Macaca fascicularis: one gene and its partner. The protein of the gene in region 2 purifies or fractionates together with the protein of the main gene of each other region. This does not show direct contact. Links are inferred from orthologs where the notes say so. Each region holds a gene or a part of one and is shown on either strand. Other genes may lie near its edges.

Region 1 (6,419 bases), on a different chromosome or scaffold from region 2:
CACAAAAAAATTAAAAAAATTAGCCAGTGATGGTGGCACACACCTGTAGTCCCAGCTACTCTGGCGGCTGAGGTGGAAGAATCGCTTGAACCCAGGAGTTTGAGGCTGCAGTAAGATACTGGGTGCTGGAGCAAGATACTGTCTCAAAAAAAAAAAGTGCGAAGAACCCTTTTGTTGCTATCTGATACTATAAATGTAAAAAGTGAGCAGCAATTCCAGTGGCTTAAAGGGGAGAGAGTCTTGCAGTCAAACTGTTTTGTCTGCTTTGCCTGCCATGATCGTGTAGCCCTCAGTGCTGGTTAGACAAAGTCATTTTGGAACCATCTTTGTGATTTTGGCCATGTCTGCCTGTCAGTACTAAGCTTTACTTAATATGTCTCCTCAAGTCTACTTTAGATTGACTTCTTGACTGGGTATGGTGTCGCTGTAATCCCAGCACTTTAGGAGGTTGAGACAGGTAGATCATTTGAGCTCAGGAGTTCAAGACGGTCCTGGGCAACATGGTGAAACCCCATCTCTCCAAAAATACAAAAATTAGCTGGGTATAGTGATGAATGCCTGTAGTCCCAGCTACTTGGGAGGCTGAGGTGGGAGGATGACTTGAGCCGGAGAGGCGGAGAGTGCAATAAGCTGAGATAGTGCCACTGTGCTCCATCCTGGGTGATAGAGCCAGACCTTGTCTTAAATAAATAAACAGACTTGTTAAATTTAGCATCCTTCTAAAGAATAATTTATTAAAATACAGATTTGTTGTTTTAAAGTATACATTAAAATGCATAATTATTAAAATTACTATGTCCTTTTAACTACCTAAAAACATCTTTAATACCAGTGACACTCACACTTAGGGAAATAGTTCTTTATTCACTCCTTAGGCCCCAATGGTAGTTTTTTGTAAACTTCCCGTAAGTCCACAGCTACTAAGTGTCTCTGAATTTCTTTCTTTCTTTTTTTTTTTTTCTTGAGATAGAGTCTCGCTCTGAAATCTAGGCTGGAGTGCAGTGGCACGATCTTGGCTCACTGCAACCTCCACCATGCAGGTTCAGGCAGTTCTCCTGCTTCAGCCTCTGGAGTAGCTGGGATACAGGCGCGCACCACCATGCCTGGCTAATTTTTAGTAGAGACAGAGTTTCACCATTGTTGGACCAGATTGGTCTTGAACTCTTGACCTCAGGTGACCTGCCCGCCTTGGCCCCCAAAGTGCTGGGATTACAGGCATGAGCCACCACGCACGGCCTGAATGAATTTCTTTTTTGCTTTCTTTTCTTTTCTTTCTTTTTTTTTTTTGAGACGGAGTCTCACTCTTTCTCCCAGGCTGGAGTGCAGTGGCGCAATCTCGGCTCACCGCAACCTCCACCTCCTGGGTTCAAGGGATTCTCCTGCCTCAGCCTCCTAAGTAGCTGGGATTACAAGCGTGCACCACCACGCCTGGCTAATTTTGTGTTTTTAGTAGAGACAGGGTTTCTCCATGTTGGTCAGGCTGGTCTGGAACTCACGACCTCAGGTGATCTGCCCGCCTCGGCCTCCCAAAGTGCTGGGTTTGCACAGGTGAGCCACTGCGTCCGGCCCCTTGCCTTCCCTTCCCTTCCCTCCCCTCCCCTCTTCCCTTCCCTCTTCCCTTCTCAAGACAATCTCTCGCTGTATTGGCCAAGTTGGTCTTGAACTTCTGGCCTCAAGCAATCCTCCCATCTCAGCTTCTCTAAGTGCTAGGATTACAGGCGTGGACGCTGTGGCTGACCTGAATTTCAAATTAATTATCTTTGTACTTTGGTAGGGAAACTGGTAAGGAAAGTATAATACTAGTTAGTGCTTATTTTTGAACTACAGAATTAATTGCTTCTAAAACTTTTTGAGTTATTACTAGTGATATGCAAAACACAACCACCTAAAGATCTTTTTGAGCTTATTTCTAGGAACTGTTGGGCACTATGCTGAACCTTCATAAGCCTTCATTTCCTTCTTTTTTTTTTTTTTTTTGAGACCTCTCTGCCACCTACGCTGGAGTGCAGTGGCGCGATCACGGCTCACTGCAGCTTCTGCCTCCCGGTTCAAGCAATTCTCCTCCCTCAGCCTCTTGAGTAGCTGGGACCACAGGCATGTGTCACCATGCCCGGCTAATTTTTTTTTTTTTTTTTTTTTTTTTTTTTTGTATTTTTAGTAGAGACAGGGCTTTACGATGTTGGCCAGGCTGGTTTTGGACTCCTGACCTCAAGTGATCAGCCTGCCTTGGCCTCCCAAAGTGCTGGGATTGTAAGTGTGAGCCACTGAGCCTGGCCATTTCCTTCTTTTTAAAATGAAGCAATATTATTTACATCAGAGTTGTTCTGAGGATTAAATATATAGAAAGCTTAGCAGTGGCAAACACACTATTATTGATAGACATTGTTTTATTTCCACTTTTGGACTGTTTTGAGTAAAGCTGATAGGAACTTTCTGTTTTTAAGATAGAGTCTTGCAATATTGTCCAGGTTGGTCTTGAACTCCTGGGCCCAAGTAATCCTCCTGCCTCAGCTCTCCAAGTAGCTGGGACTACATGTGCGATCCACCATGCCCAGCTCAACATTCTTGTATATATGTTTTTTGGTGGACGTAGGCATTCATTTCTCTTAGGTGTATAACTTGGTGTATACCTTGGAGTAGAATTGCTGGATCACAGATACATTTAATTTTTGTGGATACTGCCAAACAGTTTTTTGAAATGGCTTTAGTATTTTGTGCTCCTATCAGAATGTGTGAGAATTCCAGTTGCTTCATACCCTGTCCCACAGTTGATATTGTCAGTCTTTTAAATTTTAGCCATCCTGATGGGCAGGTAGTGGTATCTTACTGTGGTTTTAATTTACATTTCCCTGTTGAGTAATGATATGGAAGTACCTTTTAATAGGATTTGTATGTCTTTTTCTTGCAAAGTGCCTGTTATTTTTTCTTGTGGATTGCTATGTTGATGCTGGATGTGGGTCCTTTGGAAATAGATATTATGAATACTCTTCCCTAGCCTGTGACTTGCATTTTTACTTATTGAAGTCTTTAAATGAACACAATTTTTAATTTTAATGAAGTCTGTGTTGTCATTTTATTTTCTTTTATGGTTAGTACTTTTTTTCTTTGAGACAGGGTCTTATCTGTTGCCCAGGTGGGAGTGCAATGGTATGATCTCAGCTCACTGCAACCTCTGCGTCCCAGGTTCAAGTTATTCTCATGCCTCAGCCTCCCGAGTAGCTAGGACTTACAGGTGTGTGCTACCACACCTGGCTGATTTTTGTATTTGTTGGTAGAGATGGGGTTTCGTCATGTTGGCCAGGCTGGTCTTGAACTCCTGACCTCAAGTGATTCACCCACCTCGACTTCCCAAAGTGCTGAGATTACGGGGGCGAACCACCGTGCCCCTGCCCTTTTATGGTTAGTACTTTTGTGTCTGTTTTTTGTTTCTTTTAGTTTTGTCACCCAGGTTGGAGTACAGTGGTGTGATCATAGCTCACTGCAACCTCAAACCCCTGGGCTCAAGCAGTCTTCCTGCCTCAGCCTCTGAATAGCTAGGACTACAGGTGTACACCACACCTGGCTAATTTTTTAAATTTCATAGCGCTGGGTTTCACTGTTTCCCAGGCTAGTCTCAAACTCCTGGCCTCAAGTAATCTTTCTGCTTTGGTTTCCCAAAGTGCTGTGATTTTAGGCATGAGCCACTGAGCCTGACCCTGTCCCCTGTTTAAGAAGTTTTTGTTTTCCCCGTATTCAAAAACATATTTTAAATATTTGACACTAATTTTTTTTTCTCTACATGAACATAGGTGATGCCATGGAGAGCAGCAAGCCTGGTCCAGTGCAGGTTGTTTTGGTTCAGAAAGATCAACATTCCTTTGAGCTAGATGAGAAAGCCTTGGCCAGCATCCTCTTGCAGGACCACATCCGAGATCTTGATGTGGTGGTGGTTTCAGTGGCTGGTGCCTTCCGAAAGGGCAAGTCCTTCATTCTGGATTTTATGCTACGATACTTATATTCTCAGGTAAGATAGAATTATTTTATTTCAAGTAAAAAGTGAGACTTGAATGTCCAAAAAAGCAAAATAAGCTCATAGATTATTCTTGATGCATAAAATTTTTAATTTAAGATTTAATGGAGATTTCTTACTTCTGTAGAAGGAAAGTGGCCATTCAAATTGGTTGGGTGACCCAGAAGAACCGTTAACAGGATTTTCATGGAGAGGGGGATCTGATCCGGAAACCACTGGGATTCAGATCTGGAGTGAAGTTTTCACTGTGGAGAAGCCAGGTGGGAAGAAGGTAAGGATGAAAATGACCTTACAGATTAACAACAGCAACAACAACAAAATATGAACTTCAGCATGTACTGTGTTAACCCAATTAAAAACCTTTTATCAAAGAATTTAAAATCGGTAAAGAAAAGTTAAAAAGTCCCTGTTTTGTCCTGAAATTTTAGTCTATTGCGGAAAATAGGATTTTCTGACACAGATATGAGAAGTTGTAGCTTTGATATCTAGCTGTAGTCTCCTTGGTCTGCTAATTGCTTTATTTTAATTTTCTTTTCTGGAAAAACATTTTTACTAAAAGCTATACAGATTTTCTCCTTTGCACCTAGCAGTACTTTATGTAGTATTGCTTAGGGCCATGTAGCATTTTAAGACTCAATTAAAAAATATTAATCTGTTGCTGACTCTGCTAATTCCCATTCCAACATGTGCTTCCTTGAATAATTCAGGATACAACTTATTGTGTATGACAGCTTTCCTTCACACACAATTTTTGTGGGTGTGTGTATATTTGACTTGGGGAGAATTTAAAAAACACATAGCATTTTAATTTGTTTGAAACAGACCTTCTGCCTGTTACATTTTGTGCTCTTAACCAATTAAAGAAGCCAATGGCGGCCGGGTGCAGTGGCTCACACGCCTGTATTCCCAGCACTTTGGGAGGCCAAGGTGGGCAGATCACAAGGTTAGGAGTTTGAGACCAGCCTGGCCAACATAGTGAAACCCTGTTTCTACTAAAAATACAAAAAATTAGCTGGGCGGGTGGGCGCCTTTTCAATAAAAGGAAGGAAGATGTGAAAACAACTTTTTATTAAAGCGAATGATTTAAAATTAATACATATTGATTGTTTTTAGATTTTTAAATAAAATGCATGAATATAGTTTAAAAGGTCAAATACTACTGTAAGGCTTCTAACAGAAAGCAACTGTCATGTGTGTTATTCTCCTCTCTGCCCAGTTTTCACTTTTCAGAGGCTGATGCTCTTATGTGTTACCACTTCTGTTCTTTATTTCCTTACTCCTGTATGGGTGGCACAGACCTGGGCGTTGTTGTTCTGGGAGTTGAGCAGGGAAATGACATTGGGGATCTCACTGTTCAGAAGGTGGGCATTCACTACCCCCCAGCTGTCAGTAGGGCTTCTTACCCCCAGTCTCATCCATGCCTTATAAGCTATGGGCATAGAGCCTCTCCACAGATTTCTTTGTAAGGATCGGGAGGGGTAAGTCATGTGTTTCTTACACAGACTTTTATCCATCACTTCTGTTTTTAGCCCAGTCCTATAAGCATGCCCTAATGCCTGTTTGTGCTTTTTTTTTTTTTTTTTTGAGGCGGAGTCTCGCTTTGTCGCCCAGGCCGGAGTGCAGTGGCGGGATCTCGGCTCACTGCAAGCTCCGCCTCCTGGATTTACGCCATTCTCCTGCCTCAGCCTCCTGAGTAGCTGTCCCGCTCTGTTGCTCAGGCTGGAGTGCAGTGGCACCATATTGTCACTACAATCTCTGCCTCCCAGGTTCAAACAATTCTTCTGCCTCAGCCTCCTGAGTAGCTGGGACTACAGGCACACACTATCATGCCTGGCTAATTTTTGTATTTTTAGTAGAGACAGGGTTTCACAATGTTGGCCAGGCTGGTCTGGAACTCCTGACCTCGTGATCTGCCTGTGTCGGCCTCCCAAAGTGCTGGGATTATAGGGGTGAGCCACCACGCCAGGCCACCTTTGATATTTTGAAGTGCTGGTCTGTTGGTACTGAATTCTTTTAGCTTTCATACATCTGAAAAATCTTTATTTTGCCTTTGTTTTGGAAAACATTTACTCTTAGTATAGAGTTCCAGGCCAAAGTATTTTTCTCAGTACTTCAAAGGTGTTGCCCCTTTGCCTTTTCGCTGACATTGTTTCTTTTCTTTTTTGTTTTGAGAGGGAGTCTCGCTCTGTTGCCCAGGCTAGAGTGCAGTGGTGGGATCTTGGCTCACTGCAACTTCTGCCTTCCGGGTTCAAGCAATTCTTCTGTCTCAGCCTTCCGAGTAGCTGGGACTACAGGCGTGCACCACCACGCCCGGCTAATTTTTGTATTTTTAGTAGAGATAGGGTTTCACCATATTGGTCAGGCTGATCTTGAACTCCTGACCCCAGGTTATTCACCTGCCTCTGCTTCC
Region 2 (6,419 bases):
TCTCCAGTAAAACATTCAAACTTCTTAAGAGTAATCAACATTTACTACTGATTTGCTCAAATCTCGTTCACTTCTCAATCCTAGCCATGCCCAAGCACACCACACCATTTGCCGCTGTCATGCCAACACCTTCCCTCCTTTTTGACCAACTTGCAATCCTTAACTGACCTCTCTAGTATTTGATAATTTTGACCTTCCACCTTCAAGTAGTCCTCTTCTCTTGATTCTCCCCGGTTGATATTAAGCCCACGACAGACACATACAGCCAAGATCTCTCTCAAGAGCTGCATATGTATAATATCCATAACTTACTGGATATCTTAAAGGTATGTACATCAATACCAGCATATTCAAAACCGAATTTGTATTTTCCTTCTTAAATCTACTTTAATCTCTCATGTTCCCTATCTCAGTTTCTCATACTGCCATCCATACATGTGCACATGCCAAGAATGAAATCCAGGGTTCCTGGGGTCATCTTTACTTCTTCCCCTCATCCTTTACGTCCTTATCCATCAAACACCAAGTCCTATGTCTCTGTGCTCATCCCACTGCCTCAATGTTCATAATCTCCTCTTTCTTACATTACAGCAACTGGTCTACCACTGTTCCAATGGTGATGAGCTGGACCGTACTGCTGAAGCACCAGCACTTACATACATAAGCATATTCAGTAAATTTATCCTAATCACTATTTTAGAGAAAACGTAGCCAAATCAGAATACTAATAAAGAGCACATGTGCAAATCACCTTATGCAAATCAGGTATGTGTAAAATGGATAGTCAAAAGAAAAAAAGGAGAATTGGTACTTTTCAAAATAATTCATAAAGCATAACTCAATTTATACTTTTCAACAAAAAGTCTACACTCAATATGCCTAACTTTATACCTACCACTGGAAAAGTACTATACTATATTGAAATATTTAAAACATGCTACAGAAATGTTCTTTAAAAATTAAATATGATAATTTCTGGGATAACAAAAACACATCTGAAAATATTTTAATATCTCTTGCTCTTCATGTTATCAAGAAAAACAAGTGAAATAAATAAATAAATAGGTACTAAAGTTAATTCTTATAAACAGAAATATTTTCTATTAATAGTTCCATAGTGCATTATAAAAGTGTAACTGTGTGGAAAAGTTAAGGGTGAATGCTGAGTGCAAGAGAGTTAGAAAAACCACTACAACCTTTAAGTGAGAAAGTGGAGAAGACTTCTTATCAATGTGACATATTAGACACTATAAACATAACATAAAACACAAAATGTAGTGGAATGTTCCCTAAGTCAAAAAGTGGTATGAAAGCACAAAATGCATATAGATTGGATTACCTGAAGTTTTACTCAGCTCTGCTGAAAATATAGCAGATGGTGATCTGTCCTCCTTTTCTGTATCAGAAGGAAGATTTTTCTCAGCTTCTTTCATAAGAACTTTGGGTTTAACTATGCCGCCTATCTCTGCTTGAGTGGTCAAAGCAGAAACATCTGGAGGCAATAAGAGCACCTTTGATGTAGCAGACCCATTTTTGGAAAAGTCATCTGAGAAACTGATTTTCTCTTCAACTTTGGGTTGTATGTTCTTCAAAGAAAGGTCATGGGGCAATTCTGTGCAAGGCAATGACCCAGCTCCACCCGGGGCATTAGCAATTTCACTTTTGTGGGATACTTCTAGGTCAGTATATTCCCTGGCTAATTTAGAAAATGAATCAGTTTTAGAACTGATCAATGTAGGGAACTCATCTATAATTTCAATTGGAGATGAATCTGAAAATGTTTCAGTTTCTCTTACTTGTGCTTCCTTAGAAAGAAATAAGTCATCATCTGAATAAACTGCAGTACTGAGCTCCTCCATCTGCAAAGGAATTTTCTCCTTTTTGCTCAATGTTGAAACTTCATCAGGTAACAGGGTATCTTTTGTGTTATCTAAATTGAGCTTGAAAGATTCCAAATATGGCTTTCCTCCCTCAGGTGGTAAAGCACTAAGTTTTTCCTTATTTTCATGTTCTATCATTGACTCAAATGAAGTTTCAGGGAGATTTTCTTTCACAAGCATCACAGCTTCATCTTGTTTTTGTGGAACGTCAGGTATGGAATCATCACTAAATAAGTCAACTGGTTCAGAATCAGGTGAGGAATCTTCAACTAGCTCAGAATGATCAGGCACTGGCTGTTCAACTTTTGCCATTTCTGAATAATCAGAGAAATCTGGAGTTGGTTCAGCAGAAAGCTTTGTTTCTTTAATTAAATCACATGCAATAGATATATAAGGAGCTTCTGTTTCTTGAACAGCTGCATTAATGCTTTCAGGCTCTTTAATTTCTTCCTTTATTCCTGATACTTTTTTTAGTGATACACTCATGGCCTCTTCGTATGGTGGGGGGTTTTCAGGCTCGTGTATTATGCTTTCATAATTAACTGAAGAAGCTTCTAATGGTGATGAGCTGGGCTGTACCGCCGAAGCACCAGCACTAGGAACTGCAGAATTCAATGGTGCTTCCATAACAATGTCAGGCAAAACTGGCGAAGGAGTAGCTTCTGATTCTTCAAATGATGGGCAAAGCTGTGCTGCAGGATAGAGGGACTCTTGCATAACTTCTGATGTTTGAACCAAGTCCATTTTTGTTTCATAAGCAATCTTTGTACCAGTAACTTCATTCAATTCACTTTCACATGCTTCCTGTACTAAATCTGGAGTCAGGCCTTCAGGCATGTTTGCCACTACTTCCTCAGTCACCTTTCCTAAATTATCTGTTGTGACATAATCTGTCTCAGAATCCTGTGCTGCTACAAGAAAAGGGTTTGATGTTTTGGTGCTAGTATTCTTCTCTGTTACTATTTGGGCCTTCTTTTCTTCTATTTTTTTTTCATCGGTCTTATTTTCTGAAGTATGATCTCCTAACAAAGGAAAAATGTTTGTTGCAATGCTCTCAGTTGCTGCTGGGTTAAAAGGAGCACATGTGATATATGCTTCTGAACGATCCTTTATAGCTTCTGGTGTACTGGGGAAAGAAGTATCATCATTACTACTCTCACTATCTTTTTCATGATTAGTTTGCTCAAGGCTATCTGCAAAACCTTTTTTATCCACTTTACTTTCCAACTTGCTCTCGACTTTACCTCCAGCAGCCAACACATCACTATCTTCCTTACTATCTTTCACTTCCCATACTCGCTCAAATGGTTTGAAGTCTGCGTATTCCTCCCTCATAGGAGCTTCCACTGCAATTCTCTTTTCATTAAAACTGTCTTTTGCTTTTTCTAAAGACATAACTTCATCCTCTTCTTTAACCAATTTAGTAAGAGCTATAGGCAACTCTTGTTGATTATGAAGGATGTTATTACTAACTAAATTCTCTTCTTCTTTATTTTTCACGATTATTTCTTCCCTAGGATTTGCTACTATTATGGCAGATTCTGCTTTTGGAGAGACATTGAATGATGATCCCATTTCTGAGTATTCTAATTCTGAAAACTCTGTTAAATCTCTATCTACAAGTGGAGTTTTTGCCTTCTCTGAGAACTCTTTAGAAGCTTCATTGACAGTTTCTTGAAGTGTTCCTTCGGTGGGTAATACTGTTGACAAATTACCAAGGTATTCATGTTCTTTAAAAGAAGCAGCTGAGAGAGGAGACAGAGAAGGAAGAGAAGCAGCAGTTTCAAGCAGGACAGATGGGAAATCCTCTTGACCAGCCGAAATAGTGTTACCTGGCTGCTCCTTCAAGTCCATAATATTTTCTGTGACCATGGACAGAAAGGAAAGTTAGAGAATGCCAGTGTTCTCAGAGTTAATGCAAGTTTTATGACAGATTCAAAATAGTGTTAGTAAAGACTTACTGTTTATTAAAATGAAATGTTAATAGCAATTAATAAGTAACAATAGAGTAGACTTTAATCATTACTGAAAATATTAAGCTACTGTAAATATAACATATGCATGGCTACAGAGGCAATTACATGCTATGCAAAGACAAATCAAGTCTGAGTAAACCTCAAATGTTATCAACTAAGATACTAAGAGCTAGTTTTAGAGAAGAGAAGAATATCTGCGAAAAGAGTTTGAGTGACAGTATAGGAAAGAAGGGGCACTGGGAAATTAAATGCCATAGACTGGTATTTATTTACAGGAAAGTCTTTCTGGCTATACTCAAACTATATTGGGAGAAAGGGAATTGTAAATATGTAAATGTAATTCAAGGGTCCAAGAATTCCTTATGTACTTCCAAGAGTTCATCGGATTTTGCTCATTTTTTCCTTGGGCATACCATATCAAATGCAAATTTCAACTTTTCCAGTAGACAGACATTCTTGGAACCATGCTAATTTTTAGTAAATCCAAGCTACTCTGCATAGAGTTAACACACTAAAAAGTTAAAGTTAGAATACAAAGAGGATAAAAGGCTGGCAGAAAAGAACTTGCCTGCAGAGGAGCGTATCACAGGCTCAGATGCAGCAGGAAGAGCAAAAAGGGTCTCATCTGAAAAACAAATAGAATATAACCTCAGCAGAAATAAAGACAGACTGAAAGGAGACTAAAGATCAGAGGAGCAAGCCAGGGTTCAGTTTGTAATAAGTTAACAAAAAACTTTACAGAGAAAGGGCCAAGATCAAAAGGAAGTCAGAAAAAGAAGTGCCATTAATTCAGGTTAAATCATCACATATATTATAAAGTTAATTAAATGTTATCCATAGAACCTATCATTTTTCAAGACGCAATACAACCTGTTTATGTTAAAGAAACTTATGAATCAAAGTGGCTTTAAAATACTGTTCTACTTAACGTATCACATCCAAAGCTTTCACTCAGGTTTTCATATAGGTAAATTGTCTTGTTCTATTCAAGCCAAAAATAAAAAGCTGAATTTGAATAAAATTAACAACTACAAATGTTTAATCTTTTGTTACTGGCGTATGTTTAATTTAGAAAAACACTTTTAAAGAATTACGCATTTTCTCTTACATTCTAAGTTGTTACAGTCATTGTACCCTGTTCTTTGAAGACATTAGTCCTGTGCCAACGTCCAAATGCCAGAGTCCAAAATACAAAAAAAATAATAATAATAATTAACTGCCTTTAGGACGACACTATTATTGGTGTTATTTAAAATTAACCTAAGTGAGGGCTACTTGCTATTTGTATACACAACTAGTGAGAGACAGGCAATTCAATTCCAGAGCCCATTTCCTTAATCACTGTATGTTACAGAACTGAATGCTTATATCTCCTCCAAAACTCATGTTAAAGCCCCAACCCGGAATGTGACAGTATCTGAAGATGGGGACTTTGGGAGGTGATTAGGGTTAAATGCAGTTGGGGGGGGAGGCCTGGGCCGAGGGGATTAGTGCCCTTATAGGAAGAGACACCAGAGAGCTTGCTGTCATGCTCCCTGTCTCCCCAGGCATGGGGAGGTCATGTGAGCACACAATGAGATGGTGGTCACCTATAAGCCAGGAGAAGAGGCCTCAGAAAGAAATCTACCTTGCCAGCACCTTGATCTTAGACTCACCAGCCTCCAGAACTGTGAAAAGTAAATTTCTGTTCAGCCACCCAGCCTATGGTACTTTGTTACAGCAGCCCAAGCTAACAAACACACTCTATATTGGTAATATTAACTTTGTACAATGTCATCTTGAACCTGCAGATGGGAGACCCTAAGCTGTAGGGAAAAGAAAGAAAGATCAGACTGTTACTGTGTCCACGTAGAAAGGGAAGACACAAGAAATTCCATTTTGACCTGCAGCTGAAAAACTACTTTGCTTAAATGCTGTTAATTTGTAACTTTGCCCCAGCCACTTTGCCCCACCTTGTGCTCACAGAAACATGTGTTGTATGGAATCAAGGTTTAAGGGATCTAGGGCTGTGCAGGACATGCCTTATTAACAAAATGTTTACAAGGAGTATGCTTGGCAAAAGTCATCACCATTCTCTAGTCTCAATAAACCAGGGGCACAATGCACTGCGAAAAGCCACAGGGACCTCTGCCTTGGAAAACCGGGTATTGTCCAAGGTTTCTCCCCATGTCATAGTCTGAAATATGGCCTCATGGGATGAGAAAGACCTGACCGTCCCCCAGCCAGACACCCATAAAGGGTCTGTGCTGAGGTGGATTAAAGAGGAAAGCCTCTTGCAGTTGAGATAGAGGAAGGCCACTGTCTCCTGCCTGCCCCTGGGAACTGAATGTCTCAGTATAAAACCCGACTGTACATTTGTTCAATTCAGAGATAGGAGAAAAACTGCCCTCCACTGAGATGTTTGGGCGGAGAGAAACATAATCTGGCCTGCGTGCACATCCAGGCATAGTACCTCCCCTTGAATTTAATTATGACACAGATTCTTTTGTTCACATGTTTTCTTGCTGACCGTTTCCTTATTATCACCCTGCTCTCCTACCACACTCCTCTTGCTGAGATAATG

Evidence for each region.
Region 1: the proteins of RTN4 (region 2) and ATL3 purify together in Homo sapiens (affinity purification with mass spectrometry; 4 studies listed by BioGRID and IntAct, counting the BioPlex papers as one, with this or other methods). This does not show direct contact. The link is inferred for Macaca fascicularis from reciprocal best matches to the Homo sapiens genes RTN4 and ATL3.

What each region holds. Positions count from the first base shown.
Region 1 is NC_088388.1:10,750,788-10,757,206, forward strand, and holds part of ATL3 (atlastin-3), read left to right. Parts: intron 1-3,788; coding exon 3,789-4,003; intron 4,004-4,136; coding exon 4,137-4,280; intron 4,281-6,419. UniProt on the Homo sapiens protein: Atlastin-3 (ATL3) is a membrane-anchored GTPase that mediates the GTP-dependent fusion of endoplasmic reticulum (ER) membranes, maintaining the continuous ER network. It facilitates the formation of three-way junctions where ER tubules intersect.
Region 2 is NC_088387.1:66,811,405-66,817,823, reverse strand, and holds part of RTN4 (reticulon-4), read right to left. Parts: intron 4,482-6,419; coding exon 4,425-4,481; intron 3,743-4,424; coding exon 1,340-3,742; intron 1-1,339. UniProt on the Homo sapiens protein: Required to induce the formation and stabilization of endoplasmic reticulum (ER) tubules. They regulate membrane morphogenesis in the ER by promoting tubular ER production.